7 linked regions of the Ovis aries genome follow. The protein of the gene in region 1 purifies or fractionates together with the protein of each later gene. This does not show direct contact. Links are inferred from orthologs where the notes say so. Each region holds a gene or a part of one and is shown on either strand. Other genes may lie near its edges.

The links.
Region 2: the proteins of MEPCE (region 1) and CCNT1 purify together in Homo sapiens (affinity purification with mass spectrometry; 3 studies listed by BioGRID and IntAct, with this or other methods). This does not show direct contact. The link is inferred for Ovis aries from reciprocal best matches to the Homo sapiens genes MEPCE and CCNT1.
Region 3: the proteins of MEPCE (region 1) and SART3 purify together in Homo sapiens (affinity purification with mass spectrometry; 6 studies listed by BioGRID and IntAct, counting the BioPlex papers as one, with this or other methods). This does not show direct contact. The link is inferred for Ovis aries from reciprocal best matches to the Homo sapiens genes MEPCE and SART3.
Region 4: the proteins of MEPCE (region 1) and U6 snRNA-associated Sm-like protein LSm3 purify together in Homo sapiens (affinity purification with mass spectrometry; 3 studies listed by BioGRID and IntAct, with this or other methods). This does not show direct contact. The link is inferred for Ovis aries from reciprocal best matches to the Homo sapiens genes MEPCE and LSM3.
Region 5: the proteins of MEPCE (region 1) and SNRPN purify together in Homo sapiens (affinity purification with mass spectrometry; 3 studies listed by BioGRID and IntAct, counting the BioPlex papers as one, with this or other methods). This does not show direct contact. The link is inferred for Ovis aries from reciprocal best matches to the Homo sapiens genes MEPCE and SNRPN.
Region 6: the proteins of MEPCE (region 1) and YBX1 purify together in Homo sapiens (affinity purification with mass spectrometry; 3 studies listed by BioGRID and IntAct, with this or other methods). This does not show direct contact. The link is inferred for Ovis aries from reciprocal best matches to the Homo sapiens genes MEPCE and YBX1.
Region 7: the proteins of MEPCE (region 1) and METTL16 purify together in Homo sapiens (affinity purification with mass spectrometry; 3 studies listed by BioGRID). This does not show direct contact. The link is inferred for Ovis aries from reciprocal best matches to the Homo sapiens genes MEPCE and METTL16.

The regions. Positions count from the first base shown.
Region 1 is NC_056077.1:36,542,249-36,546,489, reverse strand, and holds the start of MEPCE (7SK snRNA methylphosphate capping enzyme), read left to right. Parts: upstream 1-1,441; 5' UTR 1,442-2,030; coding exon 2,031-3,695; intron 3,696-4,241. UniProt on the Homo sapiens protein: S-adenosyl-L-methionine-dependent methyltransferase that adds a methylphosphate cap at the 5'-end of 7SK snRNA (7SK RNA), leading to stabilize it.
Region 2 is NC_056056.1:137,457,545-137,461,637, forward strand, and holds the start of CCNT1 (cyclin-T1), read left to right. Parts: upstream 1-1,293; 5' UTR 1,294-1,348; coding exon 1,349-1,509; intron 1,510-4,093. UniProt on the Homo sapiens protein: Regulatory subunit of the cyclin-dependent kinase pair (CDK9/cyclin-T1) complex, also called positive transcription elongation factor B (P-TEFb), which facilitates the transition from abortive to productive elongation by phosphorylating the CTD (C-terminal domain) of the large subunit of RNA polymerase II (RNA Pol II).
Region 3 is NC_056070.1:64,531,259-64,535,461, reverse strand, and holds the start of SART3 (squamous cell carcinoma antigen recognized by T-cells 3), read right to left. Parts: upstream 2,801-4,203; 5' UTR 2,780-2,800; coding exon 2,468-2,779; intron 1-2,467. Other genes in the region: iron-sulfur cluster assembly enzyme ISCU, read left to right, coding at 4,179-4,203. UniProt on the Homo sapiens protein: U6 snRNP-binding protein that functions as a recycling factor of the splicing machinery. Promotes the initial reassembly of U4 and U6 snRNPs following their ejection from the spliceosome during its maturation.
Region 4 is NC_056080.1:116,710,702-116,713,081, forward strand, and holds U6 snRNA-associated Sm-like protein LSm3, read left to right. Parts: upstream 1-1,255; 5' UTR 1,256-1,268; coding exon 1,269-1,577; 3' UTR 1,578-1,880; downstream 1,881-2,380. UniProt on the Homo sapiens protein: Plays a role in pre-mRNA splicing as component of the U4/U6-U5 tri-snRNP complex that is involved in spliceosome assembly, and as component of the precatalytic spliceosome (spliceosome B complex).
Region 5 is NC_056071.1:1,222,484-1,226,731, reverse strand, and holds the start of SNRPN (small nuclear ribonucleoprotein-associated protein N), read right to left. Parts: upstream 2,801-4,248; 5' UTR 2,781-2,800; exon of another isoform or gene 1-2,780. Other genes in the region: SNURF (SNRPN upstream reading frame protein), read right to left, coding at 2,801-2,906.
Region 6 is NC_056054.1:17,183,077-17,187,107, reverse strand, and holds the start of YBX1 (Y-box-binding protein 1), read right to left. Parts: upstream 2,801-4,031; 5' UTR 2,662-2,800; coding exon 2,496-2,661; intron 2,241-2,495; exon of another isoform or gene 1,950-2,240; coding exon of another isoform or gene 1,916-1,949; intron 1,806-1,915; coding exon 1,742-1,805; intron 1-1,741. UniProt on the Homo sapiens protein: DNA- and RNA-binding protein involved in various processes, such as translational repression, RNA stabilization, mRNA splicing, DNA repair and transcription regulation.
Region 7 is NC_056064.1:23,304,368-23,307,867, forward strand, and holds part of METTL16 (RNA N6-adenosine-methyltransferase METTL16), read right to left. Parts: intron 1,272-3,500; coding exon 1,131-1,271; intron 1-1,130. UniProt on the Homo sapiens protein: RNA N6-methyltransferase that methylates adenosine residues at the N(6) position of a subset of RNAs and is involved in S-adenosyl-L-methionine homeostasis by regulating expression of MAT2A transcripts.

The sequences.
Region 1 (4,241 bases):
AGGTGCAAGCGGAAAAACACCAACTACCTTCTGGTGCGTAGAGGCTCTAAGGGTGAGGAGCAGACAGAGTTACTGCAGCGACTCCACCAGCCGCGCGAACCTCCAACCAGTTTTCCCGCCAACAAGGATAGGCGCGAGGCCACTCGCAAGCTCCACCTCCTCCGGCGGCGTGCTCGCAGGGCTAATGCGCATGCGCAATTGGAGGCCGTTTCTGCCTTTGCGCAGCAGTCATCGCCGCCATCTTCCAACCGAATACCCTATAAAACTACAAATCCCATAATCCCCGTTGGCCTCGCTTTTTTTTTTTTAGGTGGCAGCCGTAGCGCCTGATGTTTCAAGACGCACATCTTCCTTTTACTGACTTCTTTCTCTGCCCCAGACTGCCTTTTCCGTCCTCTTTTCGTGCCCTCATTCGCATTCTTCTTAGTATCCTTCATCCCCTTATTTTGTTATTTTATTTGAGATCTATCCTTAACCCCATTCTCGCCTCTTCCACCCTTTTCTCAGCCACAGGACCCGCACCCCAAGCGCTGTTGGCAAGGAAATCAAGCCACCAAACAAACACCCAGTGGAAAGGCTGTCCAGTAGCTTCCTCCCCATAGGCTAAGGCAGGGAGCCCCCAAAGCGGACCGAAATCTCTTCCTCGCCCACATTCGTTTTTATATAAGGCGGCTCGGAGCCGCAGCGTGTGCTCGGGAAAGCCTGTGTACGGAGTGGGGGGCGGGGGGGGCGGCGGTGCTGGGTGTACTGCTATTGGCAGCTGTAGTGGGCGTCGGATAGCTTGTCTCCGGGCTGGGGGGGCTCGTGCGCTGGCGTCGGGTGGTGGGCGGAGGCATTGGTGCGGGAGGTGGGTGTGGAGGCGGAGAGGGCGTGGTGTCCCCAGGTGATCGCGATCGGGGAGCGAGAGAACGACTCGGCTGTTTAGGGGGAAGAGGAAGTTAAGACAACATCGCCTGTTTTAGTGCTTTTTTTTTCTTTTTCCAGTTCAGCAGAGACTGTTTTCCAGGGGGGGATGAGTTAAAATGATCTATCGTGTTATACTGAGAACAGTTCGTAGGAAGACGGTCAGTATGCTCCGCTCCTTCCCCTCCTCTCCTTTTTAGGTGCACCCCTCCGCTCCCTCGGAAGCCTTTCTAAATAGGTGGGCACCGGGGCGGGGGGGGGGGGGGGCAACTGGGTCATGAATAATTCATACGGACCGCCCCGCCCATTAGCCACGGCCCTCCGAATCGTGCTGACGCATGTTGCGTGTTCCAAACCCTAGGAAGTAACGTAACAGTCCCCGCCCCTAGCACGGAGGGCGGGGCGTCATCTCCAGCACGTGCTGCATCTACCCGCGCAAGCCCAAAAGGGTGTGCGCAGGCGCTGCTCGCTAGGGGGAGGAAGGAGGCGGGGTGGGGAGGTTGCTGGGTTTAGAGCCGGGCGGAGACCGCTGAGACTCATTCCTCAGGAACAAGGGTCGGGTGTCAAGGAGACCTTTTCACACCAGCTCCCCGTCCCCCGCCTACGGTGGGTGGGATCGCGCGGCAGAGACAAAAGGATATCAGTAGGGACGGACATAGCTGCGAAGGGAAGTAGGGTGTCAGTTTGGGGTGGTGGGCTTCTGCGGGTGGGGGGCGGGCTGAGAAGGGCTGTATTTAAACTCCCGGAGCCGTTAAGTTGGTTCGTACTCCGATGCGCGCGCAATCAGGGTGGTGGCGGAGTGCGCATGCGTGATTCCAGGGAGAGAGGAACGCGCCCCAGCCGTGCGCGCTCGCGCCGGAGCGGTAGTGGTAGAGGAGAAAGGGGTCGGCGCACGCGCGGTTGAGTCCTCGAGTTGTTCGGGTCTCGCGGGCATCTTGTTTTGGTCTCGCGGGCGAGTGGGGCGAGCTTTCCGGGGAGGTGCTTGGGCGCGAGACCAGGGGAGACGAGCAGCACTGCGCGCGCACTCGGGGAAGGAGGCGGGGGGAAGGGAGCGTGGTCTAGGAAGGGGGGTTAAGCCCCCGGTGCCCCCCTGGTTGCCCTCGACTGGAACGGAATAAGGGGAGGAAATGATCGAGATGGCGGCGGAGAAGGAGCCGTTTCTGGTGCCGGCCCCACCGCCGCCGCTCAAAGATGAGTCGGGCGGAGGGGGCGGCCCCACGGTGCAACCGCACCGAGAGGCCGCCTCCGGGGAGCTCCGCGGCGGGACGCAGCGTGCGCCGGGCCCGCGCGCTCACTCGGCGGGATCCCCGGCCTCTATGGCCGGCAAGGAGAGCCCCGGGGCTGCATCCACCCCTCGAGGCGGTCAGTCGCAGCAGCAGCAACGAGGGGGCGGCCCCCAGGCGCAGTCACTCGGGGAGGCCTGCTTGTCGGATCCGCACGGGCGAGCCGCTCCCCCGGACGTGGGGGAGGAGCGACGGGGAGGAGGCGGAACAGAACTGGGCCCCCCTGCTCCTCCTCGACCCCGGAATGGCTATCAGCCCCACCGGCCCCCAGGGGGAGGTGGGGGCAAGAGGAGAAATAGCTGTCATGTAGGGGGAGGTGGTGGAGGCTTCAAACATCCGGCCTTCAAGAGACGCAGGCGGGTTAATTCGGACTGTGACTCTGTCTTACCCTCCAACTTCCTCCTCGGGGGCAATATCTTTGATCCCCTGAACCTGAATAGTCTCCTGGATGAGGAAGTGAGCCGTGCACTCAATGCGGAGACCCCTAAGTCATCCCCGCTTCCGGCCAAGGGGCGAGATCCAGTGGAGATCCTCATCCCCAAAGATATTACAGACCCTCTCAGTCTCAATACTTGCACTGATGAGGCCCAAGTTGTCCTTGCTTCGCCACTCAAGACTGGTCGGAAACGGCATAGACACCGGGGACAGCACCACCACCAGCAGCAGCAGGCAACGGGAGGGAATGATAGCCACTCCGCGCTGCCCACAGCCCCCCTCACTTCCTCACTCCACGGGGAGGGCACCACGCAGCAGCATGGGGGCCAGAACCGGGACGCCCCCCAACCCTATGAACTCAACACAGCCATCAACTGCAGGGATGAGGTCGTGTCTCCCCTTCCATCTGCCCTCCAGGGTCCCTCAGGCTCCCTTTCAGCCCCTCCAGCTGCCTCAGTTACCTCTGCACCCCCGTCTTCCTCCTCACGACATCGCAAACGACGCAGGACTTCCAGCAAGTCAGAGGCAGGAGCTCGGGGTGGAGGCCAGGGTTCCAAGGAAAAGGGCAGAGGGACTGGGGGAGGGCGCCACCACCTCCAGCCACTACCTGCCGCAACCTTCAAAAAGCAACAGTGCAAGTTCCAGTATGGGAATTATTGCAAGTACTATGGGTACCGCAATCCTTCCTGTGAGGATGGGCGCCTTCGGGTATTGAAGCCTGAGTGGTTTCGGGGTCGGGACGTCCTCGATCTGGGCTGCAATGTGGGCCACCTGACCCTGAGCATTGCCTGTAAGTGGGGCCCATCCCGCATGGTGGGCCTGGATATCGATGCCCAGCTCATCCACTCAGCCCGCCAGAACATCCGACACTACCTGTCTGAAGAACTGCGTCTGCCACCCCAGACTTCTGAGGGGAGCCCAGGAGCAGAGAGTGAGGAAGGGACCTCAGCCATCCGAAAAAGGAGCTACTTCCCAGCCTCGCTGACAGCCAGCCGTGGTCCCATCGCTGCACCCCAAGTGCCCTTGGATGGAGCCGACACAGCGGTCTTCCCCAACAACGTTGTCTTCGTCACGGTAAGAGGGTCCCCAGGCTCCTGGGAATAGGGGTCAGGCATGAAGATGAGAGTGAATGAGAACATGGCAGGGAGGGTTATGACCCAGAGGGTTCCTGTGCATGCACCCCTCCCTGGAGAAGCCAGGTGCTCAAGAGAATGGTCTGAATCTGCAATTGATTCCATTTTGGTGTATCTGCCCTCCTATAACCTGGAAAGGCAGGGGCTGTACCTGGAGTCCTTACTCATGACGAGCCCCAGGATAGGGGCAGGTTCCTTTTGCTCTGCTCCTGGGCAGTATTGTAATCTAGACCCATCCACTTTCCTTTGGGGGCTGCTGCTCATAATCACTGGGGGATGTGGTCCAGATGAAAACTTGTCCTCCGGCCTTCTGTAGGTGCCTGAAGGGATGGGTGTCCAACATTCAATGTCTTGGGATGGGGCGGAGGATTAGGGTAGTGGCTGGCTAATTATGTTCTGTCCGTTGATAGGGACCTCATTTGTGTCACACACAGAGTTGATTGTCAGTGGCCAGGAACCCAAGCGACTTCGCCTTAGATCATCACCA
Region 2 (4,093 bases), on another chromosome or scaffold:
AAATATTATGAGGAAACCTACTGAATGTTTTCTATGTGCCCAGTACTACTACAACTGTTTGTAACTTATCAAATCACTTAATCCTTTTCAGAACCTAAATCGTATGTACTGCATACCATTTAGGAGAAGGCAATGGCACTCCACTCCAGTACTCTTGCCTGGAAAATTCCATGGATGGAGGAGCCTGGTAGGCTGCAGTGCATGGGGTCACAAAGAGTCGGACACGACTGAGCGACTTCACTTTCACTTTTCACTCATGCATTGGAGAAGGAAATGGCAACCCACTCCAGTGTTCTTGCCTGGAGAATCCCAGGGACGGCGGAGCCTGGTGGGCTGCGGTCTATGGGGTCGCACAGAGTCGGACACGACTGAAGCGACTTAGCAGCAGCAGCATACCATTTATAACAGGTACAGGGAAGTTAAGTATCTTGCCTAGGAACAAACAGCCCTCAAGCTTGGAGCGGGGATATAGCTTGACAGTGGACAGGAATTTAAAAATCTGCATGCGCAGGATGGTAGTGGAAGTTTTCCACACGGAAGGAGCAGTTTTAGTTCATCCGGTCATACAATGGGGTTAAGATAGTACCACTTTTCCGGGTTGTTCCGATTGAATAAGAGTCAGCGATGTGGTAAGCACTAAATTATTAATAAAATGAAATTATTAATTTATTTTATTCCTTTAAATTGGTTCAGCGTGGCGAATCATTAGTGTCTTCGAGGATTTAGCTACGCGTTGAAGCTTTTCAAGTGGGTAATTTATACTGCTACCAACGAATTCAAGAGCTTCCGGTGGCTTTATGTTACGATATACGATAGGGCTACTCGCTTTGATTACTTTTTTCAGTTTTTGATACTCTTACCCATTTTCTCTGTCAAGTTCTCTATCTGCCTCATTTTGTACAGCCACCTCCGTCACAAGCGAAATTCTCCGAGAAACCGCCACGCGGCGCGAGGGCGGGAGCCTCACCCACCCACAGCCTTTGCCTCGCCCCCTCGGTCAGGGCGCGAAGGCTCAAAATAGTTCTCGCGAGAGGAGACTTTTTTTTTTTTTAACGAGAACTCCTAACCCCACCTTGCCTTTCCAGGGTCACATGACTGGCGCCTGCGTCCTAGAACCAAGGTTTTTCTGATCGCCTACTGGCTGTTAACTCGGCTGCAGGCTGACCAGGGGTCCATTCCGGAAGTAGATCCTTTACTTCCTCCCCGGAAGCGTGTCACAACCTAGCCGTCCGGCCTTTGCGGAAGTTCGTCACGTCGCAGTTGCCCCCGCACAGCGGATGTGTGTCGCCGCTTAGGTGACGCCGAGAAGTGCTTGCAGCCGCCGCCGCTGCCTTCTGGTTGAAGCACTATGGAGGGAGAGAGGAAGAACAACAATAAACGGTGGTATTTTACTCGAGAACAACTGGAAAATAGCCCGTCTCGTCGTTTTGGCTTAGATCCAGATAAAGAACTTTCTAATCGCCAGCAGGCGGCCAATCTGCTCCAGGACATGGGCCAACGTCTTAACGTGTATCCTTGCGGCCTAGGCCTTTCGGCCTTGAAGTCGGTCCCGCCCTGCTCTGCTTCCAGTCTTCAAGGTCTGTTAGACAAGAAGGGAGGAGGGTGGGCAGGGACTGGGTGTCTAGTTAGGAGAGCCTACGATGGGCAAAACTTAAGTGTTCGCGAGAGGGAAGCGAGGCGGAGTTAATTTCCCGCTCGCTCACCGGTGCCACCAGCCTTAGTGGGAATGAGTTTCCTTCCCGCTTTGTATTTTAAAGTAGTAGTAGTCCCATTTCGGTGTGTTGTGATCTCCTGTTCTGGTGACTTTGAGATTCTGCTTTTCTGTTATGCCCAAAGTGTCTAGTGGAGGTTTCACTGTTGATGGCTGCCTTAAACTTACTGTGTACAGAGAGTTTTGAGAAATTTCAGTACCTGAGGGTCTTATTAAAAGGGTGGCTTAGAATTAATACCCTAGCTTTGGCTTAAAATCCGTTCCTTCCACTTACTGCTTGTTGGAGACTGGTTTATAAAATGGGATGATACCTCTTGAATTTGATTTCTATGCCTAGCACAATATTGGGCACTTATATGTTCAAAAAGTAGTTACTGTTAAGAGTTTTACAGTATTTCAGAGGAAGGAACGATGTCAGTTTAGTTTGTAGGCAAGTAGACTTACAGATCTAATGTTCTGAAAAATCTTTTATAAAATACTGGGGTTTTAAGTTACTCAAAGTGCTAATGTGTATTCGTTTTTCTCATATTTAAAAGATTTAGTGGGGTTTTTTTCCCCTTTAAGTGTTTTGGTCAGAAAACCTACTCATTTTGTAGCAGACAAAGCTGTAGAGTTTTGAAGTTCTTTCCACTTAGGAAGTAAAAAATTTGTTTTTGGGCGCAACTACCATTTAAATGTGTTGCTGGCTGTATGTTTCTTTCTTAAGGTTGTCCTCACTTGAAAAAAGGTGTCTTTGGTGCCCATATTCAGTGTGTTTCCTAAGCATCCAGTCCGTACTGAGTTAAAATTTTTTAAAATCTGTTTTAGTGCATCCTAGTAGTTTCCTTGTGTGTGTATTACTGTGGTACTGTCTCATCTCTGTGTGCTCAGTCGTGTTCCACTCTTTGCGGCCCCATAGACTGTAGCCTGGCAGGCTCCTCTGCCCATAAAAATTTCCAGGCTAGAATACTGGCTGCTAAGTCGCTTCAGTCGTGTCCGAGTCTGTGCGACCCCGTGGACTGCAGCCTACGAGGCTCCTCCGTCCATGGGATTTTCCAGGCAAGAGTACTGGAGTGGGTTGCCAATACTGGAGAGGGGTGCTATTTCTTACGGGGAGGGTGGAGGCGGAGAATTTTCCTGACCCAGGGGTTGTTCCTGTGTCTATTGCGTCTTCTGCAGTAGTAAACAGGTGGTTTCTTTACCACTAGGGCCACCTGGGAAGCCCCCATCTGTGTATATCCCACATTGTTTTCTGAGGTCTTTTTAAGTAAGGCATTCAGAAATTTCCCTTTTCAAGAGAACCCTTGGACAGTGTTGGTGGTAGTGTATATTGGTGCAGTCATTGTGGAAAACCAAATAGAGGTTTCTCAAAAAGCTAAAAATTGAATTACTATATGACCCAGCAATTCCACACCTAGGTATATAAAACAAAGACACTCATTTGGAAAGATATGAGCACTCAGTTTGTTCATAGGAGCATTGCTTATAGTTGCCACGATATGGTAGCAAACTGAATGTTCATGGACAGATGAATGAATAAAGAATAGGTGGTATATATAGACAATGGAATACTATTTAGCTATAAAAAAGTATGAAGTAATGCCGTTTACAGCAATGTGGATGGACCTAGAGGTTATCATACTCAGTGAAACAGTCAGAAAGAAAAAGACAAATGTATATTATTTACATGTGGAACCTAAGGAATACAACTGGTGGAAACAAAAGGTAGACTCAGAGCTAGAGAACAAACTAATGGTTAGCAGTGGGGAGCGGTGAGGGGGCAATGTAAGGGTGGGAGTGCGAGGTACAAACTACTGGGTGTGAGGTAGACTACAAGGATGTATTTTATATTTTACAACAAGAGGAATATAACTGTAGAAATTGGAAATGGAGCATAATCTTTAAAAAGTGTGTTAAAAATTAAAGTCGGAATTTTTCTTTTCAATGAATATCAAATAATTCATTAAATACCAAAGTGTTTCTGGTCCCAGGGATCACCTTATGAGAAGGTTTGGTTGCCAGAGGGAAGTAGAACTGAAAAGTTAATTGCTGGAGCTTAGAAGATGAGATTAGTGGAAACATTCCTAGGAGGAAATCAGTCCTGAATGTTCATTAAAAGGACTGGTGCTGAAGCTGAAACTCCAATACTTTGGCCACCTGATGTGAAGAACTGACTCATTTGAAAAGACCGTGATGCTGGGAAAGATTGAAGGCAGGAGGAGAAGGGGACGACAGAGGATGAGATGGGTGGATGGCATCACTGACTCAGTGGACATGAGTGTGAGCAAGCTCTGGGAGATGGTAAAAGACAGGGAAGCCTGGCGACACAACTGAGCAGCAGCCTAGGGGGCAGATCGGGGAGGGCTTGAGAAGATGAGATAAGCAGAAGCATACCTAGAGGAC
Region 3 (4,203 bases), on another chromosome or scaffold:
CCATCGTGCAAGTGCTCTGCAACAGGTTTCCTCTCGCCCTGACAGCACGACCTGCACGGAGAGGTGACAGAGGCGCCTGGTGGGACCACACTCGGCCCAATCACGGGAAGGGACCACGAGGTGCCGCTCCTAGTTTCAGCCACGACCACACACACAGCGGGACATCTCCGCTTCTGTTATCTGGACAGATTTCACAGCTGACTGTGAGCTTTCATAAAAACACTTGGGGTCAGAAGTGGAATTCAAACACGACAAGGCCGAGCACTTCGCGGGCCTCTCTGGAAGTTACTGACCATCACACTCCACCAGGAGAGTCGTTACAGCAAGAACTAGAGGCCGGGATTAAGAGGACATGGGAGGGAGTTTTGGGAAAACTGGAAAAGTCCATTTCTGGACCCCAGGAAGAAGATAAAGCCAAAGGCTCTTCAGTTCACCATCACCTGCCGGATCCCATCCTGTGCGGTGGCCTGAGGTAGGGTTGGCAAGTACACACCACCAGTGGCCAGGACACCTCTGCCCAGACCCGTCCTCCACTTTAGTAAGCAAAATACCCTCACTGAGGGTTTAATCGCTCTGCTTCCGAGCCTCCCCTTCCCCTCAACAGGTAATTCTATTTCCCCAACTAAGCAAGATAAGGGCTCACTGAAAGGCCAAAGGCCAGAGAGACAGACTGCCACCAGGACAGGGTCACAGGCGGCCTGCCACCTGACATTACACTGCAACTGCCAAATGAGTAAGAGAATGAATGGACTGCGGCAGGCTTGTTTATAGAAGGCAGGAAGGGTAACCACCGGCCTACCCCTGGCTGGTTCAGACGGGATGACAAATGAGACAGATATACCGAAAGAAGATACAACTATTTCACAACTTAGCAGGAACGTCACCACCAGAGAGGACATTATAAGGAATCTCACACCCAGCCAAGTTAACTGAGAAACCCAGGCTACCAACCCCACATCACTAACTGATTTCACACCCACTGTGGCATTCGGTCTACAGACAACCTGGAAAAGTTCAAATGCCCTTAGGCCTGACTCTGACCAAAACACTTCATCAGTCCTTTTGAGACTCTGTGTCCTCGTCCGTAAAATGAGATGGGAGCTCCATCTCTTCCCCTCCAAGACTACTCCACTCTCTCCCCTCCCTGTCCTGAGACCCACCATGTGGACCACATCCATGGGGTCTCTGGGTCTCGGGGTTCCAGCAGGATTTGCCCAACAGGCCATGTGGAAGCGAGGCACTGAAGTAGGTCAGGGTACTTCTTGCCCACCCTCCTTCCTGATGGGAAACGGGGGCTACCTCCCTGGAACAAACATCTCAACTCCTCTCAGGGATCCTCTCCACAAACTATCTAGAAAACCAGTCACTCCATCACCTCTACAGGACTAAAGTGGACACCTAAAGGTCCTGCTACTACTAGCCCTGGGAAACCAAACCTTTGCTCCTGACTTCCCTGCCCCAGACTCAACAGTCTCTCCATTGCTGTGCTGTGCCCAGTCTTGTCCGACTCTTTGTGACCCCACGGACAGTAGTCTGGCGGGCTCCTCTGTCCATGGGATTGCTCAGCCAAGAATCCTGGAGTGGGTTGCCATTTCCTTCTCCAGAGGATCCTCCTGACCCAAGGATTGGATCCATCTCTCCTGCACTGTCAGGCGGATTCTTCACCACTGAGCCACCTGGGAGGCCCAGTCTCTTTATGGACCTTTATTCCAAACTCTCCTAACTTGAATGTGCCACCTACTTCCTGCTGGGATCCTAGATTACATAGGAGACACCAACACCTGTACCTTCTAAAGTTACAGATTAGAAATCACATAGCTACTATTGCCAGGCCCCGAGCCCTGATTACCGTTAGGACAATTCTCTGGGCGGGAACCGTTTGTCCCAGTTTACAGAGTGGAGGATGAGAGACGTTATAATATTGGCCCCAGCACACACGGGTGTGGAAGAGCTAGAACTGGGGCCTTAGCCTCCAGACGCTATTCCGTTTCTATTATCACCGTCACGGTCACTATTTTCCCTACCACGCCAGAGCTCCTTATCTTCGTCATTCCTACAAGCAAACTACTCTTCTTGGAGGAAAATAATCTTATTTCTAGGCCTGGACACAGTTGACCCGTATGGCTAAGAGCGGGAGTTGCGGAGTCGATTCAAAGTTCAAAGCCTGACTCGCCACTTGCACTAAGTGTAATGGTGACAAGAGAATTCCCTCCACCGGGAGCCTCAGGGTCCTCCCACAAAACGGGAAATACAGCAATTCCCTCGCCGGGTTCTGGCGAGGGTTCAATAGGATAACACTTGCGAAGCACCTGGCGAGCAGTAAGCGCTCCGAGGACCGGAGACGCGCTGGGACACTGCGATTTGGAGGCTTTGGCGCTTTATATTACTTCCGAGGACCACGGAGGTGGGCCGGGGCCTGGGAACCCGAGGGAGAGAGCCCGCCGCCGCCGCCCACGCCCGCGCCCACCTGCTCCTCCAGCCGCTCTATCTCCAGCTGATTCTTCTCCTCTTCGTCGTACCCCCACTCGTACTCCCCAGGGGAGCTCTCGGCTGAGGAAGCCATGGCGTACTCCTCATCTCCATCGCTCTCACTCACGCCTTCCTCCTGCTGGTCCCACTCTGGCCCCATGGTCTTGTACGTCGCGGCGGCCACGGCCCGCGATAACACCTTCCTCCTCGCCCGAGCCGCCTTAGCCTCATCCTCCTCTCCTTCGGCCTCGGGCCCGGCCTTGGGCTCAGCCTCCGCTTCAGAAGCCGATGCTGCGGCCGCCGTCGCCATCTTGGACTTCCAGAGACTCCCGGGTCCTCACTTGGCCGCCAAAGACCCGCAGTAGTTGGAGCTGCCCGCGGCGCGCGCCTGGTCAAAATCCCGCCCGTCTGCCACCTGAAGAGAAACTATGCGCCTCGGATGACATGGAAATCTCGAAATACACGAGATTCATGTTATTTTATATACTTTCAGTAGCTCTTGTTCGAATAAAAAAGCTCACCAACAGGGCATGCGTTTCGGCACAACGTCGGACAGCAGTTGGGTCCTTAGGCAGGAAGTGGAAGCCATAGAGGCAGCCACTGAGTGAGCGTGATGGTTGTAGTTAAGGGTTTGGCGCCATCTTGAGAAGGTCAAAAATGATTCTTGGAATAAATATCTTACCACCTAGTCTGACCTGGCGCGTGAGTCAGTCTCCCCAGCAACTGAGCCTCAAACGCGCAAAAAAGTCTTAAGTCCTCAGGGAAGGATCGATTGCACCATTCATGAGAATAACTCATTTCCCAGAGATTCCTTCTCTTTATCTAATGCCTGGCGCCTAGCACTTAAATACACGTGAGTTTTGATTTTATAGGATCATATTCTGCAAACCAGTATCAATAAATTACATTAATAAATATTTACTTAGAATCTCTTCATTGCTATATCTTGTGATTTAATCTGTGCCAGTTTGCTTTTTAATAGAGACATAAACATATACAATTTTTAAAATCAGAGCAAAGTATTCTTTCCTTTAGTTAAGCTTCTCACTTTAGTGGTAGAAAAGCCTTGGTGGGTCTATTTATTGCCTTGCTCCCTCAGTAGCAAGCTTAATTGTGTCGTCTTGGGTTGTTTTCCCAAAGCACCCTGACAAAAAGTAGATACTCAACACAAGATTTGCTCAATGGATGAAGAACTGTCCTTGAATTAGTACAAAAAAGATCGAGGTTTACAATGACACTATGTTTCACTTAGCAGCACACAGCCAGTTAGGAGCAGAAATGGGATTCTAACTCAGGACTGTTCAAGTCAGAATCCCAACTGGGCCCCTCTGGGCAACCTAGGGCAAGTTACTAAACCGTTCTGATCCTCAAATTCCTAAGCTGCAAAATAGAGCCAAGAAGGGTGGACTGGTTGAGCCTCTGCGCCGAAATAGGCGGTGGGGCTTTGTCAACGCAAAGCTGGGTCCTGATTTCCTGCTCAAGGATCCTCAAGATTCAGAACCCAGCTCGGTGGACCAGCCCTCGAACGATTTCAAACCTTTAGGCTCCGCGCCGCGGGAACAAAACGGGGACACGTGAACGCAGCGGGAGGGCGCAGGCGCAAGGTCGCCGGTACTTTAGAGGGTGCGCGCTCCCAGCAGGGAGCCGACTCGCGCACGCGCCCCTCCCCTCGGCCGCGCGCTCCACCTGCGCAGGCGCAAGCCCTCAAGATGGCGGCGGCTGGAGCGGGCCGTC
Region 4 (2,380 bases), on another chromosome or scaffold:
TTTGCAGCTGCATGTAGCCCGCCAGGCTCCTCTGTCTATGGGATTCTCCAGGCAAGAATACTGAAGTGGATAGCCATTCCTTTCTCCAGGGGATCTTCCCCACCCAGGGACTGAACCCGGGTTTCCTGCATTGGTGGGCAGGTTCTTTACCATCTGAGCCACCAGGGAAGCACCCATGACTTAGTACAGCAGGGATACTAAGGCAGACATGTGGACTCCTTTGTTGGACAACTTTGGCTCAAGGTCTTGCAGAAGTTTCCTTAGACTGCCTGGTAGTCTCAACTGCTTCCATACATCCTTTTCTCTTCTTTCCCTCCTTACCAGTCAGGCTTCACTCACAGCTCCTTCTCTATTTTCTTTTTTTTTAAATATAAATTTATTTATTTTAATTGGAGGTTAATTACTTTCATACAGTCATTTCTCCTAATAAAATCTTGCCGTGTTTAATCTTGTTTTGACAAGAGCTTCTTGGAGGTGTAGAATAACATAAGTAGAGTGGGTATTTGAGATTCAGGAAACAGTGTTTACTTCCTAGGCCTAGATCTGAGTCACATGACTTGGTAAGAAAACCCAAAGCTGTGAGACTTCAAGAAAACTTAATGTTTGGTAGCTGTATATGCATGACCAGGTTATCAGGAATAATAAAGTCAAAAGGGGTGAGGAGGAAGATGCTGGGGCACTGGCTGCAAGCCCTGTCGTTGCCTTCTGCCATCCAAAAGCTGGGGAAAGATCTCTGAGTGTCTTGGGGAAGCTAGTATTTTCATTCGGCACCATCTTACGTGGCTGGCTCTGGTTTGTCGGCCTGGCTCCAGATGTCATTCTTTTCCTCCATGATTACCAAGTGGTTGCTACATCATCACGTGAGAAAATACTGGGTAACGCAGTAGAGAATTTGGGATCCAGGCTTTACTTCTTTCCTAAAGATGATCTCATTTGGTCAAGGTCTGTCTTCCAACTTCCAAAAATCTCATTTTTCTTGGTTTCAGCTTTTCCACAAGTTCTTTGCTATGTCTTTTGTCTTTGTAAACATGAAATGTTTTATTTTCTTCACTCAATTAAAATGCGTTTTGTGGGGACTTCCCTGGTGGTCCAGTGGTTAAGAAAGACTTCACCTTCCATTGCAGGGAATATGGGTTAGATCCCTGGTCAGGGAGCTAAGATCCCACATGCCTTGTAGCCAAAAAAACATAAAACAGAAGCAATATTTTAACAAATAAAGACTTTAAAAACGGTCCACATTAAAAACAAAACTTAAGAGGGTTTGAAAGATGGCGGACGACGTGGACCAGCAACAAACCACCAACACTGTGGAAGAGCCCTTGGATCTCATCCGGCTCAGCCTGGACGAGCGCATCTACGTGAAGATGAGAAACGACAGAGAACTTCGAGGCCGGTTACACGCTTATGATCAACATTTAAATATGATATTGGGAGATGTGGAAGAAACTGTGACAACTATAGAAATTGATGAAGAAACATATGAAGAAATATATAAATCAACAAAACGGAATATTCCGATGCTCTTTGTGCGGGGAGACGGCGTTGTGCTGGTTGCCCCGCCATTGAGAGTTGGCTGAAACGAGAATCCGCCGCCTGTGGGAGACGGGCTGTGCTGTGCGGTGGCCTCTTTGAGTGTGGAAGATGTTCCAAAGAGAGACCGATGTGCATCTTGATGCTGAAAATAAGCAAGAATTCTTCCACTCCTGAAATAAGTTGATTTGTAGATAACTCACAAATACTTCAGCTAAACGGCATTTTTATTTTTCTCCAACCCTTCCAATAAATGTGATCGGCGCGATACAGAAAAAAAAAAATAAATAAAAAAATAAAAAATAAAAAAAATAAAAAAAAATAAAAAATAAAAACAAAACTTAAAAAAATATTCATATGTTTTCAGCTCTTCCTTTCTTTTGAATTCTTTTTTTTTTTTTTTTTGGTGGGGAGAAGTACAGTTGCTTTACAATGTTGTGTTAGTTTCTGCTGTACAACAAAGTGAATCAGCTATATAGCTCTCTTCTTTCCTTAATATTTATTTATTTGTTTGTTTGCCCTGGGTCTTAGCTATGGCACACAGGATCTTCAATTTTGTTGCGACATGTGGGTTCTTTTAGTTGTGACATGTAGGATCTAATTCCCTGAATGGGGATTGAACCCCAACCCCCTGCATTGGGAGCCATGTGTCTTAGCCACTGGACCACCCAAGAAGTCCCACAGCTCTCTTCTTGAAGAGGCAGGTGTGTGTTCTGAAAAGAATGGGAATGGAGATGGAATCTCGACTCTACCACTTCCTACATGTGAGACTTCGTGGAAGTTAATTTTATGAGCCTTGATTTTCTTGTTTATAAAATGTAGATAACACCACCTACCTCCCAGGATAGTT
Region 5 (4,248 bases), on another chromosome or scaffold:
GTGGAAACTATTAATCCACAAAGCAATGCCACTTAAACCAGAGGAAAACAATTTTTCCATTTTGGAAAGTGTTTATCAAAGGGGAAAAAAGAGACATCAAAGGTGGTACTAAGAAATTATCACTGTAGTAATTATTCTTGAACTTTTGAACTGTGGTGTTGGAAAAGACTCTTGAGAGTCCCTTGGACTGCAAGGAGATCCACCAGTCAATCCTAAAGGAAATCAGTCCTGAATATTCAGTGGAAGGACTGACACTGAAGCTGAAACTCCAATACTTTGGCCACCTGATGCGAAGAACTGACTTATTAGAAAAGACCCTGATGCTGGGAAAGATTGAAGGCAGGAGGAGACGGGGACGACAGAGGATGAGATGGCTGGATGGCATTACTGACTCTAATAATCATGAGTTTGAGTGGACTCCGGAAGTTAGTGACGGACAGGTAAGCCTAGTGTGCTGCAATCCACGGGGTCGCAAAGTATCAAGACGTGACTGAGCAACTGAACTGAATTATTCTTGATGGTAATCAATACTGCTTATTGTGTTATTAGAAAGCAACATAACAAAACATTTTATAAATTACTAATTTTTATACGTTGCATACCCAAACTGAATCCTCATCCTAATAAATTTAAAATACCTAATATACACTATCTTAAAAATGCAGAATATTCGTAACAGCATAGCAAACTAGGGGGAAAGAAACACAAGTACAAAGAAAAAGTAAATCATGAAGGGACCATCATTTATTCATTACAAATCATATTGAGGATTATGTAATAAAATGAAGGAACATTAATGATATACATAAATAGAATAGTTTAAAAACATGATTACAACTATGTTTTCAAAAGAAAAGCAAATGGGTAAAATGAAAGAAAAAAAATGCCACTATGGTTGAAACATGGCTATTTAAAATCTGTGGTTTACTTTCCCATTTTTCTTGGCTATCACTCATATGCTTTACATTTTTATAATGAAAAAGAAAACATATCAATTGTTTAAATGTCTTTACCCATTTACACGTACAGCAGACTTTAACAAGACCCTTGTCACCAAATTCATCTGATTCTCTACTCTGTAATGTTTACTTCATCTACTCTCCTTGTAATACCTTTCCCTTTACCACATTCTATAGCACCAACACTCCCCTACTGGCTCCACCTTATGTTTTCATCTTTGAAAGTGGTTCTCTAAGAGACTAGCAGACTTTTTCTTTTAAAAGGAAAGACAATAAATATTGTAGGTCTTGCCTGGCATTCAATCTGTCATGAATGCTCCCACCTGCCACTGTACTGTCAATAATATCCACAGGCCTTATGTAAATAAATGGATATGGCTCTGTGCTAACAAAATTTTATTTATAAAAACAGGCAATAAATGAGTCAGATACTTTATCAATCTTGCTGTAAAATAATTCTAGTAACTAGTACTATTTAGATGAAACTAGCACTTAAAACTTAGAAAATTAGATTACTCTACTTGTAGATCATAATTATGATTTAAATAATACTATACAGGAACTTGCAAGAGTATCTAAACTATACTAAAGGGCCAAAAAATTCTTGGTTAAAAAATCAATTATGCACACTTATTCATGTAAAAACGTTCTTACTCTGGGGGACAGCTGAGGACAATTATCAGATTCCACTGCCTGAAATCAATTCTACTGTCTTGCAATCAAGTCCAGGCAATTACTGGAGAATGCTGGGTAAAGTATTCAGTAGGGGAGGATTTTTCCGTTTGAAATGATGGCCATAAGCCTAATTAATTTGAGTTGCAGGGTTATACTCTGAAATAGAAATAAAGAAAATCTAGAAGAAAACTCATCTATAAACTTCTTTCCTTAGTTTCTGAAAAGTACATACTAAACCCTTTGAACTTAGGTCATTCAAATCTTAAACTTAAGAAAGGAAAAATAGAGTATTTAATCAAAATTAATTGCAATTTTCTAAAAATCTAAGCAATTAACACAAAAAGACACTGTAAATAAATCTACATAATACTGACAAATCATAAGTTAATAATAGTTTTGTTACATTGTCAGATGACTCAAACAAATGGGTAACAAAACATGAGGAAAGAAAACAAGAAATAAGTAGTAAATAAGCCTGGGAAAATATTTAGCTTCTCATCTGCTAATGGATGTGATGTGTATTTCTAATTTAATAGAAATAAATTATATGTAATTGACAAAATTAATGCAGATGAAAGTGTACCTGGCACTATACTTTCTCATGGCAACTGAAGACTAATAATTCATAATATAATTTAGAACATGAACCTTAATTTCAAATTCCTTGATTTATTTTCACATCTGCATATCCAAGGAAATGGTCCTATCTGTTTTGCAAAAAGCAAATCACTGAAACTTCATTTCAAACTATCAGCAGAAAAGATAAAGTTCTCACAGAAAGGAATTCTAAAACATATTAGGAGGATATTCAGCAACTATTTATAATGAAATACTTCTCTTACGTTAAGGTGAAAAGCAGTACAAGTTAAATATGAATAAAACTACCTAAAAAGCAAAGACTACATTGTCTAGAAAGTAACTCATGACAAAAGTCTTTCAGGGTGAGAGCATTAAGGTACTGCTTTTACTTTTTAAAATTTTCTGCTATGTGTTTATATTTGTATGATGCTTTTAAGGAAAAGAAATTGAATATATCCCAAATAATTAAATGACCTCCAAACATCCTACCCTTTAATTAGTTGTTTAATCCTGATCATGATTTCATCAGCTATAACCTGTTTTTATTTTTCTCTTGAAATCAGCTACCTTGGTGTTCCAATACTGCTTTAACCACCTCTTGGTGTCTCAGCTAAGAATGCCTGTCTCAGTTCTGCCTGGAAATCCACCACAGGTACTTGCTGCTGCTGAGATCGCCTCAGGTACACGTGACACCTACGACAAGAGCACAGAACACATAAATGAAAAGACATTTCCCTATATAGTTAACAATGCAAGCATGAAAAGACCCTTAAATTTAATACTCCAAGGTTCAGAGCATACCACTACATTATGAACAAATTATAAAAGAGGAGGCTCTCTGCACATAGGAATGTACAAGAACTGAGGGATACTTACCCTCTTTGGTGATATTACCAAGGAACTTAAAGGAAAAAAGAAAGAGCTCTTTTGGTTTAAAATGCCCTATAAAAGAACCAAGAGTATAATAACCATTTCTAATCTGGAAACAACTCTTTAACCCCTAAGGAGGTAGGGTATTGGTTAAGGCATTTCCAATGAGACATTTTAAGATAGTTATTTATGCTGACTGGAAGTTACTAACTGAAACAAAGAACCTCCAAGCTACTTAGGCTCTCAGACTATGTAAATCTACCATCCTTTAGTTATCAGGGAATTCTAGAAAAATACTCAACATATTCCTACCTATAAGTAAGACTCTATCTGGCTGTAAATCTGATCCTGAGAATAAGAGATACAGTAAATTACACAGTTTGCTGGCTAACAAGACAAGCATAAATAAATCACCAGCCAAAAAACTGCCCTCATTGTAAGTATGTGCTTGCATGCTAAGTCACTTTAGTTGTATCCAATTTTTTGTGACCCTGTGGACCTTAGCCCGCCAGGCTCCTCTGTTCATGGGATTCTCCAGGCAAGAATACTGCAGTGGGCTGCCGTGTCCTCCTTCAAGGGATCTTCCCAGGGATGGAACCCATTTCTCTTACTTCCTGCACTAGCAAGCAGCTGATAAGTACATATGTATGAAAATATTCAGTAACAGCTAGAATTGAAAATGGGACTGTGATAAATGGTTTTCCACTATTTCTATACTTTTAAATTAAGACTTTTAACTGCAGTTCATGGGGTCACAAAGAGTGGGACATGACTAAGCAACTGAACAACAACATAAAGAATTAGGCTGGACTTTGTCCATGGTTCCTAGGAGGTCATCTCTAATCCTTTGAGTTTAACCAGTGATAGGAGTGTGTTTGTTATTCATGGTGGGCCTCTGGGATCACACCAGAGTTAAAGCTAACTAGATGGCTCAGGTTAAAACCTGGGCTTAGAGAACAGAATATTTATGCTGCTTACCTGTTTCTATAATCCACCTATTATCAAAGTGGAAAAAGGTGGTTGGGGAAATTATATTGTTTTTCCAACTCAAAATTACCCTCAGATTCTAGTTCAGCACCTCCTAGTATTTATACATAACATATACAACAGACATCAGGTAAATGAAGTTGTCTCTTCTTCAAAAGCAATAAAGTATTTCCACAGA
Region 6 (4,031 bases), on another chromosome or scaffold:
ACTGTGGTTAAGACAATCCAAACAAAGGATCATTAAAAGCCAACTTACATTTAACTTGCCCTATCTGATGATCAAAAGAGTTGATTACAAGTTAGATGGATAAAGGAATGGTTATCTCACAGAATAAACTTAGAACCCGAAGAACTGCTTTTATCTTGGATTATCAATTGTTCACCTACAAATATAATCTAGATCCATTTAACAAATGCAGCAGAACAGAAGGCACATATATACCACAATCTTTAAAACACACACACAAATTACTTAAAAGGCTGCAAATTATAGATCACTCCTAATAGGCACACCTGTGATAGCCTATCGCCACACTGGGTCAAAGGTCAAAAGCAGTGTTTCTCAAACTAAGGCTTACAGGCTATTATCACCTGGAATTCTCCTTAAAAATGTACTTCAGACCCAATGAATCTAAGCTAAGAAAGAACTCAGGAATGTGTACTTTTATCCTTTCAAGGTAAGCACACAAATTCGAAAACCACTGGTTTAAGGGTGAGGCCAAAGTAAAATCAGAGTAAGACTGAAATACTAACAAATTCAGAGATCACCTAAAAAGTGGTCAAACACTGGCATCAAAGCAGTCCCTGCCTTCCTCACTAGTAACCCATTATCAAAAAACTGATGAGAAAATGTGGCCTTGGCCTGTCCCAAGGCAGTGTAAGAACAGATGGAAAATTCCTAAAGATTTTGGAAGAAACAAAATGTTTCCTCAACTGCAAACGTGGAAAACAGACCGTCAAATGCTTACAATCTCTTTTGCTTTCTGAGCGTTTGAGTAACTAGTGGGTTTTTGCCAGCCAATTGTGTGTCTAGGCTTGATCTTGCCCACTTGGTTTCCCTCAGTAGAGTCCATTTCAGAAACATTCGGTATTACTTCTTACTCTTGAAGTTCTTTCAAACATCCAGCGTAATAGGGGTGTTAAGAAATACAACGCTGCGATGACCGCATCACACCTGTAAGGCCAACACTGCTGTCAGCACGCACACTGCTCTACACCCTGTAGCTGCACCACCAGCCCGGGCAGCCATCTTGGAAAAGATGCCCGGCTGACAGGGACCACGAAGAGCACTGTGAGCGAACTGCCGTCACCATCCCACTGCTACAAACAACTCAAAGGGTTAATCCTTAAGATGCAGTTTGCAGCTCTGCCTTCAAATACAAAGACGAATGTAATCGTGGACTAAGGTCACTGTAAGCTACAACCAAAGATTTAACAGGTACGATTTGGGGGGACAAGGAAGTAGGAGGAATAAGGCAATAAGACCTTAGTCAAAATGACATACTTGCATTGTCAAAGCACGTTACCTCCAAAGGTTAAAAAGTTGTAAATAACCTACATAGTAAACAGCGGCTCACAATTTCAAATACCAATTTCAGTAACATAGAAAAGAATGACGGATAAAAATGCGAGGTGTCTAAGCCTAACAAAATCACACCAGATCTTAGCTTTTTCTCAGTTCGCCCTGGTAAGAGATGGCTCACTCACTCCGCCTGCCTTTTAAATCGCTTTGTATCTTTCAAGTTAGCTAGAGATCAACATTTAGCTACAAAACAAAGACAATCTCTACGTCTCCTAATCCTTTCGGTCACCAAGGAAAACAAAACCCCACTAGCCCTACACCAGGGATGGCAACCTACACAAGCGCCAACAACCCCAAGTTCCTAAAGCCTACAGATGGAGGAGAGCAATCAAGAGGCAGGACAGGGCTTCAGCGGCGGTCATCTCACCTGTTGATGAAACCATATCCGTTTCTTACATTGAACCATTTTACTGTTCCCAAAACCTTCGTTGCTGAAGGAGAGAGGAAAAAAAAACCCACAATTACTAGACGTCCTTTTTCAAAACCGCCACGCTTCAGCATCCGGTGGCTCACGCATTCCCTGGCAAAGACCCATGGCCACCTGACAGCCTTTTTCCCCAGGGCCTGCCGGCCATCCGCACGGTCCACGTGGGTGAACCCACCGCAGCAGAGGCCCCGGGTCAGGCCCGGGGCGCGGGCCCGAGCTGGGTGTGCGCGGGGACCGCGGGCGGCGGCGAGCACGTGAGAAGGGGGAAGCCGCCCGGCCCACTCCGGCCTGCGTAGGCGGCGCGCCGCGCCCTCAGGGTACACGCGGAAGGGAGCGGGTGGGGGACGGAACAACGGCGTGCGGGCCCGGGCGCACGCGGCCGGCGGGCACGGAGGGGAGGGACCCCGCCGCACACGCGGTCGGCGGCGCGCGGCCGCACAGGGGGAGGGGCGCGCGGCCGCGCGGGGTCCGCAGGGGGCGCGGGAGGCGGCGCGCGCGCGCGCTTGCCGGGCACGCGGACCGGGCGGGCCAGCGTCCGCGAGGGCGCGAGTGGGGGGGCCTGGGGGAGGGGCGGCCGCGCGCCGCCGAGACGGTCCCCGCCGGCCGCGCGCCCGCCGGCTCGCCCCGCTTCGGGTAACGGTTCCGCCGCCAGACTTCCCTACTTGCCCCACCCCCGTCCACGTCCGGCTCTCACCGATGACCTTCTTGTCCCCGCCGGCAGGCGCCGCCGATGTGAGGCCGCCCGGGCCGCCGCTCCCTGCGCCGCTGCCCGTCGTGCCGGGCTTGGTGTCGGCAGCGCTGAGGGCGGGGGCGGCGGGGGGGGCGGCGGGCGGCTGCTGGGTCTCGGCCTCGCTGCTCATAGTTGCGGTGATGGTGACTGGGGCCGGCTGCGGCAGCTGCGGCTCCTCCCGGGGTGTGATGGTAACTAGGCCGGCGGCGGCGGTGGGGCTGCTCAGGGCTCTCTGGGGTCCGCTCTCCGCTCCCGCTACCGATCGAACTAGCGAGAATGGCGGGACGGGCGGGATAAGCCCTGCGAGCGACCCGCCCTAAGCATCGTTCACTGGTCAATAGTGTTGTCAATCTCACCACCTGACCACAACTCCTAGTTTCTATTGGCTAATAGTCTTTCACTCCTCCACTCTCATTGGCCTTTAGGCGGCTAATTCGGCCGACCTACAACCGTTCCTGCCTCTGCTGCCGCCATAGAGACCGGAACTAGAATTAGAGTAGAGTCACCACGAGAACCATAGAGAACCGGAGAGGACGGGCAAGAGGGGACGTGACTTTCACGAGGCTGCAGCCGGGGTGGGCCGGCTCCAGGTCCAGGGTTGTGTCCTGGCCGAAGGAAAGGTACGGCCAGATGCCTGCGCCGGGATTACCCGGCCTGACCTGGGGGCTTGGAACGGGGCCCGACGACACCATAGCTGCATGTGGAGAAGGCCTCCCTCCCGCCCTGCTCCAAATATGGTCCCTGTGACCTCAGACCATTACTGCAGATAGAGCCGTCTTTTCTACAATGGCCGTGTACTCGCGGCACAGCCGGGAGTTTCTGGAACATACTTAAACGTCTCCATTCAAAGAGCGTCGGTTTACGGCGAACCAGTCACTCTGCGGGGGGGATCACGCTAGCTATTAGGAAGCCCCTGTTAAAAATATTGAGGGCGGAGGGCGGGGGTGTACTCCATGGGGACCTGCCTTCCAAGCACAGGAGGACTGTCTTGTTAAGTATTCACATCTTTTTGTATTGGCCACAAAAAAAGATTTAATTTCAACTCACGTTTATTGAGCAAGCTAGGCATGTTATTCTTACAACGGCCATAATTGAGGCTGCCACACGAAGTAGATGAAGCCCTGCACCTTCGTTCTTTATAAAGCGTCTGCTCTCTCCCGGGGATGGACAAGTTCGCCAGTTGCAGCCTTCTTAAACTCAGTCTAGGGATGAAGGCACAAATTCAAAATGCGACATACCAAACACCCCAGCGCTGCTAACGCACAAAGCGTTTTGGGAGTGGCCGTGGGAAGAAGGTAGAGAGCCGACTTCAAGCACATGGAGGTTTATGCAAAGGCATAGAGGGAAGAGATGGGGGTCTGGGGGAAATGCAACTAAAGTAGTTATGTAGGACCAGAATGAAGACGCTGGGTTATACAGGAAGGCCGGGTTAAATTAGGAACATTTTATCTGAAACTTAAGGGCAGTAGTGAGAAGGGTAATTTTAGAGTTGAAATGGGG
Region 7 (3,500 bases), on another chromosome or scaffold:
GTGGCTCAGTGGTTAAGAATCTGCCTGCAATACAGCAAACACAGGAGACAAGGGTTCGACCCCTGGGTCGGAAGATCTCCTGAGGGAGGAAATGGCAACCCACTCCAATATTTTGGTCAGGATAATCCTATGGAGCCTGGCAGACTAGTTGGTGGGGTCGCAGAGTTGGAAATGACTGACTGACTTAGCACAAAGGAGATTTGACTATCTGTAGCACAGTTCCATGTACTGAAATTAAAAAGATGGTACAGTTTAATCAACAGCAGGATTTTCTTCCTTTTAAAGTCTTGGTAACTAGGTTACTTCATATACAGTTCGTTCTCATTAGCAGTAAAGTCACCACAAACACTGAATTAGTGCCTACTGAACCACTGACTCCTAAGAGAAATACAAGGTTAGGTAGCTTCAAGCCTCTGATCACATTTTCATCACCCAATCAATACATATCCTATTTTATGTATCTCTGTTTAAAGACACCTTATTTAACATGCATTACTGACTCAACACTGAACTCATGGCCAAAGGACTATAATATGTCTGAAGAAAATTTATCTGACACACGTATTTTCTGTTAGGCACATCACAGCCTTCTTGTACTTAGGAACACTAGTACTCAAGTACTATGTTTAGGGGCCATTAAAAACAGCAAAATCACCAAGAAAAAGCACAGAATTGCAACAACAACAAAAGTGGTAGTAAGCAGACCATGAAAAGAACACTTGTTTACAGTGTGTGAGCTGAAAGGAGACAGCAGGGAAAAGAAAAAGAAAAGACAGCAGGGAACACACACACCGGGTGATTCCAATTTTTTCCCATTTTGCACATGTCTGTGAATGACCACAAAAGTACCACAAGTATTGATTTGGGGGCTAAAAATAGACACAGGTAAGCAAACTTTAGCAAGGAGGCAAAGTCACAACACAGAACCTACAAAGTATGAGGGTCAGCTGCGTTCACTCTATTTCTGAGTTGATTCTGATAAGAAAGCAGCAAACCCAATTACAACTGTACCAAATTTTTAAAAATTACCAAAGCTTGTATGTTAAAGCAAAAGATAATGGGATGTGTTAAATTAGAAAAACAGGTTAACAAACAAAACTTGAAAGGAATATTGATTGTGCAGAGCTAACCTTTTATAAGATCAGATAAGTTATTCTGCTCCACATTCTTCTTTGCGTAGTTGAAGCACATATCATCTACTTCTGTTGCAAGGAAATACCAGCCGTTTAAGGTTGTTCCAAGTAAAGGATAGATGCAGGATGCCCCAGTACCTAGTGAAATAAGAATTCAAAACACATTGCACACACCTGAGCAGAAGGTGAGACCAATCAGCAAAAACACCATTCTTCTTTTCTTAGAATCCTTACAGCCTTAACAGCTTAAAACAACAAGCTGGTACTGATTATGCACACATTGCAGCTACTGGTTTCATGTATGTTAGTCTTACATCATAATTAGTTTCAAATTTCCTAAAGGAGAGAAACCTTCCCGCACTCATTGTATGCTGTATGTAAAATGAAGTATGGCTGGTGATCAAGAAATACAAGACTGACTAACTGAAAACTGTCAAAACAATTTATAAAAAGTCTTCATTTTAAATTTCTTATGAAACTTAATTTTCTTGAAAGAAATCAACGTAATTTGTTAAAACAGCACAGGAATATCTTACAAAGATCAACGTACATATCCCACTCTACAGAAGCAGGAAAAAATACAGAGAGTATAAGATTTTTATAATATTAAATCACCCAATTTCCCACATATCTATCTGTAAGTTGTTACTTGAAGGAAACCAGAAGTAAAAAGGATTTATTTCTCAGATGTGGAAGCATGGAAAAACATTTGATCCAGGTCCAAAACATCAGTCATAAACTGGTCCCACCACAGTTTCAAAGGAGACCTTCAAAAGCAAATGCTCCAGGCAAATATCTCTGACAATTAGGGTTTGGTCCTAAACTTGCATGTAGAACCTCTAACCATAGATTGGACAAGCATATACTAACCACAAATAATTGCCACTCACTGATCTTGGCCAATGAGATCCTAAAGAGTATATTCAAGAGAAGAAAAGCCGGTGTTTTTCTCAGAGGCTCACAGTAGTCAGCCCACTTTCCAGGACCACATTTTGGTGCCAGTCTAGCCTTAGAAGGATTTGGCAGGAAGAACTAGAGGCCAGAGTAATGCCTAACTCAGAGGAAAGCGAGGGTCCTCTTACTGCTTCCTCATTAAGTACTCAGAACAGGAGAGTAAAAGACACGACAGTGACTGATGGCTGGAACATTTACGATCTTTTGACAGTCACAGTGATGCTACATTTATTGTCATGTTTACTAACAACATCCTGGCCCTGATGCTACTGGGCAAACATCTCTGGGGGATGTGAGAGGTGGTAAGGGAAGGACTGGTAAAAGGTACTCAAGCCCCTCTCAGAATCCACAATTATGTAGACCCTGCTAGTCATTCTGGAAAGATAGTCACTCAAATAAGGATATTAAGGAAATTTAAGTAGCACTTCCAGCTCTGTAGGAAAAAAAAAACCCAACTCAGAGCAGATCCCAGGCCCTTGGGTCTCACATAACAGCCCCTCTCTTCGTACTTCAATTTCATTTAAAAGTGAAAAGAAAAAGGACATCTCCCTTCAGCTGTCCAAAGATCAGGTGTCATCAGGGTAATAAAGGTGAAAGACCTGCCCTCTGCCAAAAAAATCAAGTTTCTCAATTCTTAAGACCAGAAGACTTGCATTCTAACATTCTAATCCCCTCAGAAAGCTGAATGACATTTTTAAATAGGTAATAATCCTTCCAATGATAAATAAAAATGGAAAGTGTATAACTATAGAATTAGAGCAAACTAATGGAGTCTGGGGTAGGAATTTATATAAAACCCTAATTAGAATAAATGTGATTTCAGCAAGAGTGCCCCTTGTGAAGAGCTAAAATCCATTAACCTCCTATATCCCCAAGTGCTATTTTAGAGGGTTTGGGGCATAATTAAAATAAATTAGTACTAAATAGGCTCTCAAGCTTTTTAAGCTTTTTATAATCCATCAGGCAAACTTCTGTGAGGAACATAAAAGAAACTTTTTTTAAACCCCATTATTTTTACCTATTGCTTAGTTCATATCATGTGTTCAGAATTTTGTATGTTGAAAGAATGATGTATTTATCCATCAACATTCAACAAATCATTTACTGAGCACCTACCTTGTACCAAAAACTTTGCTAAGACTTTGAATGTTAAAGTATTAATAACAGACTTGGTACTTTGCAATTGGGTAGCAAAGAAAAACATTAATCAATCAGACAAGTGAATGTGGTTTTTAAAAAATTACATGAAGGAAAATACACAGTTTTCTGAAGTTCATATTGAAGGAACGTATCTTATGCTGGAAAGTCAGAGGCTTTCTTACAAAATAAGGCTTCAGTTGACAGTTCACTTCAGTCGCTCAGTCGTGCCCAACTCTTTGGGACCCCATGGACTGCAGCAAGCCAGGTCTCCCT